Linked DNA regions of Caenorhabditis elegans. The protein of the gene in region 3 interacts with the protein of the main gene of each other region in a biochemical or structural test. Each region holds a gene or a part of one and is shown on either strand. Other genes may lie near its edges.

Evidence for each region.
Region 1: of the proteins of akt-1 (region 3) and daf-16, one has a biochemical effect on the other in vitro, tested with the Caenorhabditis elegans proteins (2 studies listed by BioGRID).
Region 2: of the proteins of akt-1 (region 3) and osm-9, one has a biochemical effect on the other in vitro, tested with the Caenorhabditis elegans proteins (one study listed by BioGRID).

Annotation. Positions count from the first base shown.
Region 1 is NC_003279.8:10,748,874-10,752,627, forward strand, and holds the start of daf-16 (Forkhead box protein O), read left to right. Parts: upstream 1-1,624; coding exon 1,625-1,636; intron 1,637-1,689; exon of another isoform or gene 1,690-1,698; coding exon 1,699-1,782; exon of another isoform or gene 1,783-1,832; intron 1,833-2,020; coding exon 2,021-2,111; intron 2,112-2,164; coding exon 2,165-2,315; intron 2,316-3,545; exon of another isoform or gene 3,546-3,684; intron 3,685-3,754. UniProt on the Caenorhabditis elegans protein: Forkhead-type transcription factor. Binds to the promoters of genes that contain the daf-16/FOXO binding element (DBE), TTGTTTAC, in their regulatory region.
Region 2 is NC_003282.8:3,555,703-3,559,456, reverse strand, and holds the start of osm-9 (Ion transport domain-containing protein), read left to right. Parts: upstream 1-2,025; coding exon 2,026-2,167; intron 2,168-2,889; coding exon 2,890-3,038; intron 3,039-3,092; coding exon 3,093-3,223; intron 3,224-3,270; coding exon 3,271-3,362; intron 3,363-3,409; coding exon 3,410-3,717; intron 3,718-3,754.
Region 3 is NC_003283.11:10,246,897-10,250,650, reverse strand, and holds the start of akt-1 (Serine/threonine-protein kinase akt-1), read right to left. Parts: upstream 1,747-3,754; 5' UTR 1,696-1,746; coding exon 1,592-1,695; intron 797-1,591; coding exon 688-796; intron 614-687; coding exon 425-613; intron 380-424; coding exon 218-379; intron 173-217; coding exon 1-172. UniProt on the Caenorhabditis elegans protein: Acts downstream of PI3 kinase age-1 and kinase pdk-1 in the daf-2/insulin receptor-like transduction pathway.

The DNA.
Region 1 (3,754 bases), on a different chromosome or scaffold from region 3:
AAATTGAAAATAGTTTTCGTCGTGTTTTTTGAAAAGTTATTTTTTTGTGAAAAACATGAGTGTTTTCTATGTTTTGCATGTTTTCTGCTCTTTTTCAGTTATTTACAAAATGCAGCAAAAGATTGTTTAGAAAGATTGAAAAGACTTAGCGCGTATAGTTTGATCTATTGGTGGGGGTGGAGTCAGTGCATCTAATTTTACGCGCAATTTTATTATGAAAAAAAAAAAAAAAGAAAAAAAAGAAAAAAAAATTTCTTTGAAAAGCAAAAAAATTGCCAAAAATTGGAGATTAGAAAACTTTTAAAAAAAATCGGCAACTCTATTACGGGAACACAAACTTGTGAGAATGCGTATTTCACAACATATTTGACGCGCAGAATGTCTCGTAGCGAAAACTTGACTACTCTAACGCTTATGTCGATTTACGTGCTCGATGTTCGAAATCCTTTGATTTAATAAAATTCATCTCGAAGATCGAGCCCGTAAATCGACACAAGCGCTACAGTAGTCATGTTTTCGCTACGAGATATTTTGCGCGTAAAATATGTTTTGCAATACGCATTCTAAAAACTTTGTGTTCCCGTAATAACCAAAGTGCTTCGAAGTTTTACGAGAAAAATCCAATTTTTTGGAACTATTGTTAACGACATGTTTAGAAAAAGGTGTTTCTTCAAAAAAAAAGAAGGAAAATTGACAGAATTTCAAGGAAATTTACAAAAAAAAATCGAATTTTAATTACATTTCTGCTATATTTATGAAAAAAATTCGTAAGAAACTGTTATTTTTCCTCAAAAAAAAAGAAAAAAAAAACCAAAATTAATATTATATACTTTTAGAAAAATATTTTTTTTTTCGAAAAAATATAATATATTCTCCAAAGTTTTTCCAGCTCAAAGAAATTTTCGCCTTTCTTTAATTAAAAAATTTGAATTTGAAACCTTCATATTTTCTGTACTTTTTCGTAAACTCCGGTGTTTGCACAGTGTAGATTTACGAACTCTGATTTTTTTTTCTTGAAATCATTTTTTTACCAAAATCTTCTCTCACGATTTCCTCTCTTTAAAAAACTCATGTTTTATTCCTAATAGTGAGTTCGTTTGGGGCGAGCTTGCTGCTTTTTCGCTTTATATCTTCTTTTTTTCGTTTCCCCTTTTTCTTTTCCGTCTCAAAGTTCATAAAACAGTTTTGCACTTTCTCGTAAACAACTCTCGCATGGGGTCGCTCAGAAGTTGATCTCTGAAACCTCTGTCGCCGGCCGCCAACCAACGAGAAAAAAAAGCATTCCCAATGTCCTCTTTTCTATTTTTTTTTTCTTCATATTATTTCTCAAGGAAAGACATATCGGTTTACTTTTCCATCATTTGACGAGAACATGTGATGGAAAAAATGGTGGAAAAGTGGGCAAAAATGGATTGTGATAAGAAACTTTTTTTTTGCAAAAAAATCTTCCTCTATACACATTTTATGTCAAAATAAGCTTCTTCTCTCTCTCTTTTTATCAGTTCGAGACGTCGGAAATGTTCATTTTTAGTTAAGATTTCAAAATTATCCAAAATAAAAACGTTTCATTTGAAATTAATTTCCTCATTGTAACTTCTATTCAATTTCTATCTGTATTTTAATGATGCAACTCGAGGTTTTTAACATTTTTTGCTTATAATTATGATTCTAAATTGAAAATCAAACTAAAATTTGCAGCAAAAGTCTTCATTACATTGCTCGAAGTGCCGAAATTTTCTGCAAAAATTCTCACAGGACATGCAAGCGTGGAACTGTCGTGAGGTATGGCGCCGCATACGCAAACACCTTGCACACACATCGAGAACTACCGTATACTCGCAGTTTAAATTTCAAATTTTCGAAATTTTTTTCCAATCATTTTTCCCTATTTTTCTTCATTTCGCTGCTAAAAATAGTTGTTTTGAACCCGATTTTGTGCGAAATCGTGGAAGTTTACACAGCTTTTACAGTTGAAAATCAAAAAAGCGCGCTTTTTTCGTCTAATTTGCCCAGTTTTCAGCTCGATTCGCCGCTACCATCTGACATCACACTGCACAATCTCGAACCGGCAAGGCCTGATTCCGGAATGAGTTTTTCCACTGATTTTGACGGTAAATTCGTGATTTAAAGTTGTAAATTCCAATTTTATTTGTTTTTTTTTCAGATGATTTCTTCAATCTCGACCTCCATCAACAAGAGCGTTCGGCTTCTTTTGGCGGAGTAACCCAGTATTCTCAACAATTTCTTCGCGAAAAATGCTCGTTCTCTCCGTATTTCCACACATCTTTAGAGACTGTTGACAGCGGAAGAACTAGGTACGCCAAATTTAAGATTTTTAGGTGGTTTGTGAAGGTTCATAAAAGTCGAATTGCACTAAAAGCATTGTTTCGTGGAAAAAGGACAAACGCTATAAAAGTTGATGATTTTTGCCCTTTTTATCAATTTTTGAAAGAGTTTTGGCTTGTGAACAAGCCTCGGTTTTAAAATTTCAAAATTTCAAAATTTTAAATGTTTAAATTAAAAAAGAACAAAAAAATATATAGAAATATATATATATATGCCGAATGGCCTTGAATTTTTCTCAATTTTAGGTCTCAGCTGACCTTTTACTGTTTCTGATTTTTCAATTCTTGTGGTCGTGTCGCGTCATCTTTTATCTGTCACATTCGCTCTGATTTTTGATCATCGAAATTTCTTTTTTTCGTTACTCTTCCAATTTCTCCATTTTATTTCCGATCGGTTGGCACAATCAAAAGTGATTTCTCTCATTGTTGCTGACCTCGAGATTTGTTTAAGGGAAAACCCTTTGATGTCATCACTGTTTTAGTTGTTTTTTGTTTCTAATCATTTAACACTTTTTCGTCTTTTATAGGCCAACAAGCCTATTGTCAGCTGTTGGTCCACTAAGCACACGGGAAATTCACGTGCATGTGAGGAGGAGAGGCAAATAGAATTTAAAGGGGTTTCCCCGATCTTTTGACTCTTTTCTCTCTTTTTTTTTCTCGCGGAGTTGCAGTTTGCAAACAACTGGTGATTAGGTTTTCTATTTTCTCTTTTCTCTTTTGATTGCTTGGAAATTAGATTTGATGCAAACTTTAATATCATGAGTTTCTGATTCAACTTTTTTAAAGACAGAAATCGTATTTTCGTTCTAAAAATAATTTCTCTCTACAGTAACCCCATTTCTTTTAAAAACCGTCGTCGCCCGTCTCAACAATTACTCACCATTGTGTGCAACATTGTATACGGTGTGACGTTCAGAGGTCGAAAACTGTCACGCGTTTGCTCCCTCACTGTATTGCCAGACAGAGTCTCTCTGTCTCTCTCTCTCTGTTCTGTCACATCAGCTGTTCTTCTCTCTACGGGAAGGAAGCACAAAATGGCAAACATTTGAAAGAAAGGGAGAGAGCAAGTGGTATTTGAGAACGGAAAAGTGCACTTTTTGCACACTGTTGTAGCGGGGTTTTTGATTAGAACAGACGATAGGTCGAAAATCAGAGAACAGAAACGAAGTACCTATTATGGTTCCATTTTAGAAAATTCAAATTTTCGAAATAAGGAGGTTTTTGGCAGAACTGGTAATTCCTGTATGATTTCAAATTTTTTGAATCAAAAATTAAAACAGAAATGTAGGAAAATCATATACCTTTATTAAAAAAGCTTGAAAAGTTTCAGGCAACGCCTGAAAGTCGCTTTTTTTATATTTGGAATTTTTAACTAACTCTACATCTTAAAATTAAGTGTTGATTCTAAA
Region 2 (3,754 bases), on a different chromosome or scaffold from region 3:
AAGTTAACCCTTCAGGGTCCGTCAGCCTTAGAGGCACATTTTAAGGCATTTTAACTCTAGGCCTGTTAGGAAAGTCGAGGCTTGCTCCCAGGCGTCCGCGAACCCGATTTCTTGACAAAAATGCAGTTTTTTTTAAGGAAGGATAGGCACTGTGGACGCCACTGGCGGCCTTCTTAAATGCCGAGCCTCTATTATGGGTCACCCTGAAAACTTACCGAAACTCTGCAAAAACCGCGCGATGTTTTTCGTAAAACTCAAACAAAGTGAGGAAATCGTATTTAACGTACGATTATCTGTTGCGCACGGCCCCCAGTCACTAGAAGGACGTTGCGCAACCTGAATTCCTCGCGGGAGTACTTTACGGGTAACTAGGTATATTTTGAAACTTGCTAGTTAGCCTAAAAAACAGTGAGCGCCCCTTTTTTAAAAAGGTTTTTGAGAATCAGTACTCTGGCAATTCAACTTTTATCGAGATCGTATTTTCTCACTTCTTTACCCAAAAAAAGCAATACCTAGAATATAGCAATGGAGCCCATTTCATATGTGGGATTTCGAAAATTTCCGAACTTTCCTGTGAAAAATTAATATAGGTAACGGATTCAGCATGTCAAAAAACTAATGTAGATATTATTCCATTAGCCTACCTGAAAATTTGAGATATCAGTAGGAAACTATTGGAATAAATCCGGCTACAAAATATTTCAACATTTTTATTCTTTAGATAAGTTTCAAATTGGACTTGTATCTCGAAATGTATCCAACTAATCAATAAAATTCTCCACTCACGTTTTTTTCTTTTTCAAAATTCTCAGAACTAGAACATGCTCTAGCACTCTCACTGCACTTGCTTTCAATCAATTTTCAGAGCAGGTCTTGTCAGGTCACTAAGATTATTGATTTAAGTGGGGTTGCTCTTATGAAATATAGTATTGCTTTGAGTTGTAGTCTTATAGACTTTAATAGTTTTTTTTGCAAATTTTTGTATACATAATATTGATTAATGGACATTCTAGAATTAATTGACGTGTTTATTAGTTCAGTCACAATTTTTTTTGAAAACTTTAGCACATTTGGTGTATAGACCCAAATGCCAAATGCCAAATATTATGCACTTTTAAAGTTTGGGACACATTATAAGAGACGACACTCGTTCCTTACCCTTAACTTCATAAGCACCTATAACTCTGCACTGATTGTGAGTAAATTTATCAAAAAAATTGCACGTTTTAAACGTGAAGGTTAGCTTTTTGTTAGTTGACAATTTTTTGATAACACCTACCGCAAAGGAGTTATGCGCCTTTAAAGTATGGGACACAAAGTGAGTGAGCAGCGCTTCCTTCTTCACCCAATATTCTGTGAGTTGAGTTGTCAAAAAGTTGGCAACTAACAAAATGTTTAAAATTTTGAGATAAATAATGTGTAAGCACACAACTGCTTGATCACACTTACCGCTGCAAGAATGCTTTGAGAAAATTAACGAAATTTTCAAAATTTTGAATATCGTAAAATTATTTCATGTACTAAAAACTAGTTGTTTACCTTTTATGTTCATCCGGACTGTGCTTTAGAGTTGAAGCAAAAAGTTCAATTTATTGTCTTAACTCAACCCGTTTCCTTCCATCTTGCTCGGCGCCGCCTGAAGGTGTGTCTCATGGGGTGTGACTAATCCACGTCGTCAATTGCGAAAATATACGCTTTTTCACTTCCATTACTACACACACACACTTCCGCTAGCCAAATTGTGGGACCCAAAAAGTATGACATGATCCTTTAAAGCAGGTGGAAATTATTCCCGTGTTCTCAGAATTTCTTTCTCTCTCTCTGATTTTGTTCTGATCAAAATATAATTTTCTTATCTTCATATTCATACTCATTTATAGTATTATTCGAAAGTATAAAATTTGTTCTTCACCTCCAAATTTCATATAACTTTTGTATTACTAAGAAGGCGGAGTTGGCTCTCGCTGTCTATATTATCAATTTTTCACCAACTCTTTAATTTTCCAATTTTTTCAGAAACCAAACATGGGCGGTGGAAGTTCGCGAAACAAAACCGAACCACGTGGCGAGGGAGTCAAGCTCGCGTTTGACCCCGATGAGAAATGGTCGAACTTGTATAGAGAAAGGGAAAAGAATCACTTGTACAAGTGGGTCGCTGTCAGGAAAGGCAAGTCTTCTTAATAGAAACTGAAAGTTTGAGCATTTTGTTAGTTCTCTTATAGCGTTCGACGATAAAGAAGCCTGGGGTTGCCAATAACTTTTCAGCGGGTGGTGTTTTAAAAAATAATCAACTAACAAGTTATTTATTTTAAAATTTAAAAAATTTTGATAGTCGCCAATTTTTTGATAACTCAACTCACCACGGAGTTATGCGGTTTTAAAATGTTGGTAATGGAGGGAGTACTGCCAACACTTTGTGTACCATACTTTAAAGGCGCATAACTCCGTTGTGTTAGATTTTATCAAAAAAAAATGTGCGCTAACAAATTATTTATCTTGAAATTTCAAATATTTTGGTATCTGCCAATTTTTTGATAACTCAACTCACCGCGGAGTTATGAGCGTTTGAGAATTGGCTTATGGGAACAATGCTGAAGGTTCACAATGTGGCCCATACTTTAAAGGCGCATAGTTCCGTTGTAGTAGGTGGTATTAAGACGTGATCAACTAACACATTATAAGTTTTAACACCCTGAACATTTTACTAATTAATAAATTTCAAGTTTTTAACTTTACTCAGTGCTGAGCTTTGCACCTTTACCCAGATCTTTAACCATGACCCAGGATCCTGTGGTGAGGCGTAACTCTACAAACGAAAAACATAATTTTTATCTAACGAAATGCAAAAATCTGAAGATCTACGTATAGTTTTTTAAACATTCATTTCAGGCGGAGAATTGATCAACATTTACGAGCGAGATGGTGAGGAAGGCGTCCTAAAATTTGCAGAAGAGAAACTCCTCACAATTCTCTATGATGAGGGCCAGAATCCAAAACTTGTCACCTACAGTGATTATATCAAATGGAAGAAGGGAGTGGTATGTTCCCCCTATTAACTTCCACAGAAACTCTCAAACTTCTAAATCTTCCAGAACGTGCAACTCGGGCTCAGCGAAGAGTCCGTGGACATGCAGCAGAGCCGGTTCAAGGAGCATTACGCACTTTGGAAACTGAACAAGAGAGGTGTGGAAGGCGAAAATTTGATCCATCTTTTGTTGAACAGGTAAAAATTCAATAGAAAATAGAAAATTTTAATATGTGTACTTCTAGAGAACAGCAAGTTTGCTACGAAATTGCCAGGATTTTGCTCAAGCGGTTCCCTGGGATGGCTAATGACATTTATTTGGGGGATGAGCAATTTGGTAAGCGGCTTGTTTTGAAGCGGCCTGAAACATTGTGTTATCTTTAGGCCAATCAGCCCTCCACCTAGCCATTGTACACGATGACTACGAGACCGTAAGCCTGCTTCTGAATAGCAAGGCCGACGTGAATGCCCGCGCCTGTGGAAACTTCTTCCTACCCGAAGACTTTAAGCTTACTAATAAGATTACTGACTATCAAGGTTATGCCTATTACGGGGAGTACCCCCTAGCATTTGCCGCTTGTTTTGGAAACAAGGATATCTACGATTTGTTGATTCAATTCGGTGCCAACCCGAATCTCCAGGACTCTTTTGGAAATACTATTCTCCACATGTGTGTTATTAACTATAGTAGCGTAAGTTAAACTTTTAATTAAAATGCATCACGTATAA
Region 3 (3,754 bases):
GAAGAACTCGATTTTCTGTCAAAGTGTGAGCAACTTCTTCGCGAGCAATGATTACATCTTTTTTGAGAATTTTGATGGCATAAAGCTTTTGAGTACGCTTTTCCTTGCACAAGATAACTTTTCCGAATGTTCCTTTACCGAGCACTTTGAGAAAATCGAAATCTTCCATTGTCTGTAATTTTTTTTGCAAAGGTTTTTATCAGATAGGTTTTCTTACGATTTTGTCTCTTTTAGCAGCTTCGCTGGTGTCAGCAATACTAATCATAGACGCTCTGAAGTCAATTGAACAATTATCACCGTGTCCCGAAGATGGTTGACCCATAATTGCATGCGCTGCACCAGCAAATTCACTGTCTTCATCAATTTTTGGCTGCTGATTCTAAAAGAATTTTTCAAAAAAGCTGGATCAAGGTGTAATTTTTACGGTTTCCATTAATTCCTCTTGTGGATTTGCATTTGTGCCTTTGTATTTTTTTGAAATGCTCTCAATAGCATGAATCCAACGCTGACGAACTTCTGCCGACTCCGCATAGAATGTTCGCTCAATGACAGTTGTCCACTGAAGGCATCTTACCATGAACATGTTAGGTCGTGGTTTTTCGAATAACATTGTCTGAAAATAAAATATTGCAAAAGTAGATGATTTTGCAGAATGATGTTTAGAAAAATAAGCTCATCTCTACTTACCGCTGCATCCTTGATCATAAAATCATTCAATGGCTCAGGAAACGGTTGTCCTTCCTTAGGCTTTGCTCGAAATCCAAGTAAGGCTCCATCATTGAATATCATGAAGTATCTGAAATTATTCTACGTCATTAACTTTCAATCTTTTATCATCTTTGTTTTTTTTGTTATGTCACTCTGACGAGTTTCTTTTTAAAATGTTTTCAGTCACTCTCAACTTCCGCACTCACTCATTCTCTCTTTTTTCAATTTGATTATTTTTCGCATCGCTCACTCGCCGTTCACATGTGTTTATTATTTTGGAACATTAAATGAGAAGGGTGACATACTTATGGATAGAAGACATGCACACTCAAAAACAAAAAAACCATCCAAAAATACTGCACAAAATCGTGTTTTTCATTTTTTGAGTTTTCTGTAATCACAACAGTTTCACTTCCGTGTTGCTATTATTCAATTTTTCAATGTACTGTCTGTTAGGAAAATGATATACGTTTTTAGCAATCGTGAATATTTCATAGATATCTTTAATTTTCGGTTAATTTCAGTCGTTTGAAAATAATTATATTCTGAAGCGAATAGTTGTACTATGTAGCGTAGCAAACATAGAATCATCTGCTCTACCAGGAAGTCACATCATTCCCCCTTCATAAAAACGTTTATGAAGATTTTTCAGCCGGAAAAGCATGATAAGAGCGAGTGCGCGGCAAAAACAAATCAGTTGACGTATATGATGAAGCGGATATATGAATTTATGTAGAAAACAAAAATAAAAAGATTAACGAGAACAAGACTCATCGGAGTTTTCAAGATAAATTTTGATGTGAAATCATTAACTAACTTTTTCGAGCATAAAAATTATCGAATCAGTGGTAATATATGATCAGTACCGATAGAAAAATCAAACCTTGGTCTCCAGTTTCGAATGTGCTCTCCTTTCTTGTGAAGCCATCCCTCAATGACAACATCTTCTTGTCTTCGAGACTTCGTTGACAAGCTTGTCATCGACATTCTTTCACCGGCGCCGTCGTAAACCTTTCGGGAGAAGTAACGTCTTCGACTGAAAATTAGAATATTTTTTGATCGAGATTCATTATGTTTTTAAGAAAATCAGTTTTAACACTTTTAATTCGAAAATGAAGGAAAACATAAAAAAAAAGAAAAGCGAAAAAACACACGAGAGAGTTTTGTGACAAACAAAGCAGAGGGACGGAAATTGACAGAATTTGAAGAGAGAGACATAGGAGTTTAGAGAAAAAAGAGGTGGTGACCCTATTTCAGCGGAAACAAGAACACGAAAACATTTTCAGACACTGCCCAGCAACAACATCATGAGTAACGCTGCTGCTTCAGAATATCGTTTTCTGAGTGTTCGTCTGTGGTTTTTTGTTTTCCAACAAGGAAGAGATAGGAGAAGCAGAAATAACGGGAACGGACAACCAGTGGAAAATAAGAAAGAAAATATCGGTTTTCTGGAATTGCCCGCTTGGAAAACAAGATTATTTCTACGATAACACCATGCCACTGATCATAAATTTCAAGTTTTTGATCTCTGGCATTTTATACACATCGATACTGTATAACATGCAAACAGAAAGTTTACCTGTGATGTACGAGCACTTTTGTTATCGAAAAATCAACAAAACAACGTGAAATAGAATAACAAATTAACGGCAAACAATTTTTGAATAGGGATACTATGAGAGCCGAAGTATACAAGCGAAAAAAGACCATATTGGTTGAAGTTGATAAATTTTCAATAGTCTGAGAACCATTTTACGGCTGTATAAATATACAAAAACGACTTATTTTTAATTATTGGTTTTTAACTCAACCTTATTAGGCATTCAATTTACGGAAATCATGTTAATTATTATTTCTCTAGAATTTCTCTTGAATTATAAGCCACTTTAGAAACCCTATAAACGAAAAAAAATTAATCGTGAGAAAACATTAAGAGACGGAGAATGAGAAAGGAAGAGATGAACCACGCGGATTATCATCACGTAAAAACAAGAGGAGAGGTTTTGATACACTTTTCGCAGTTAGTGATTAGGCCACTGCCTCTTGTCTGAGCTTTCGAAGAGAAACAGATTATTATGCACCACGACTGGCATACGAACATACAAAAAAGCGGGGTGATTACGCCATGGGAGAAGGAGCGGAACTGGAGCACATACGTGGAAAGACGCAGACGGAACGTGCCTAAATTTAATCGATCGGAACGATATATTAGAGACATAATAATAACGAATTAACTGTTAAATTGGGAATATATTTGAAAAATAGACACTTTTTCAGATTTTTTTTCAGTAACAAAATTAGAAAATCTTCGAATGTGGTTTCAATGCCATGATTTTTTGATTAAGTGAACGCGAGAAAAACCGGAAAATAAGAAGGAAAAGCAACAAACAGAGGCGCCGATAGGGTTAGACCGGGTCTTGAACTGACGGTCTTGAGACGAATACAAACAACTTGATGAAGGAAAAAGAGAAAGTATGTGGGTTGTTGATGAAATCTCCAAAAAAAAAAAAAAATAGAAAACAAAGTTTTTCTATCTAATTAATTTTTGAAAGCATTGAAAAGCTTTTTTAAACGTTTTTTTTTAAACAGGAACGTTCGAAAACGAAAAAAAAAACGGTTGTGTTGCCAGACTCCGGTTGAGTTAGATATCGGGCACGAATATCGGTGTTGCCAGTAGTATACAGCAGTACGGAAAAGTGCACGTTTCGATCAAAGGCCGCGCGTGCTTTGCTTCGCGGAATGGATGATCGGTGACGCCGGACGGAGAGAGGGAACAGGCGCGGCGTCGAGCCGCAGACAGAGCGAGATAGTACATGCTAGAGTTGTTTACATCCCAAAACGAAAACGAAGAGGCTTCGCGACAATTGCAAAAAATGAATTGTCCCTGCTTTTTATGAGGTGAATATTATTGGAAAAAATTTAAGGGGAGAACACTAATTTACATCTGAATGAAACAACAAAGAAATATGAATTTTAAGAGTATTTTAGGAGTGGGAGTGATGAAAGCTTATTATATTCTGAAAATAAAAATAAACTCCCACGCGCG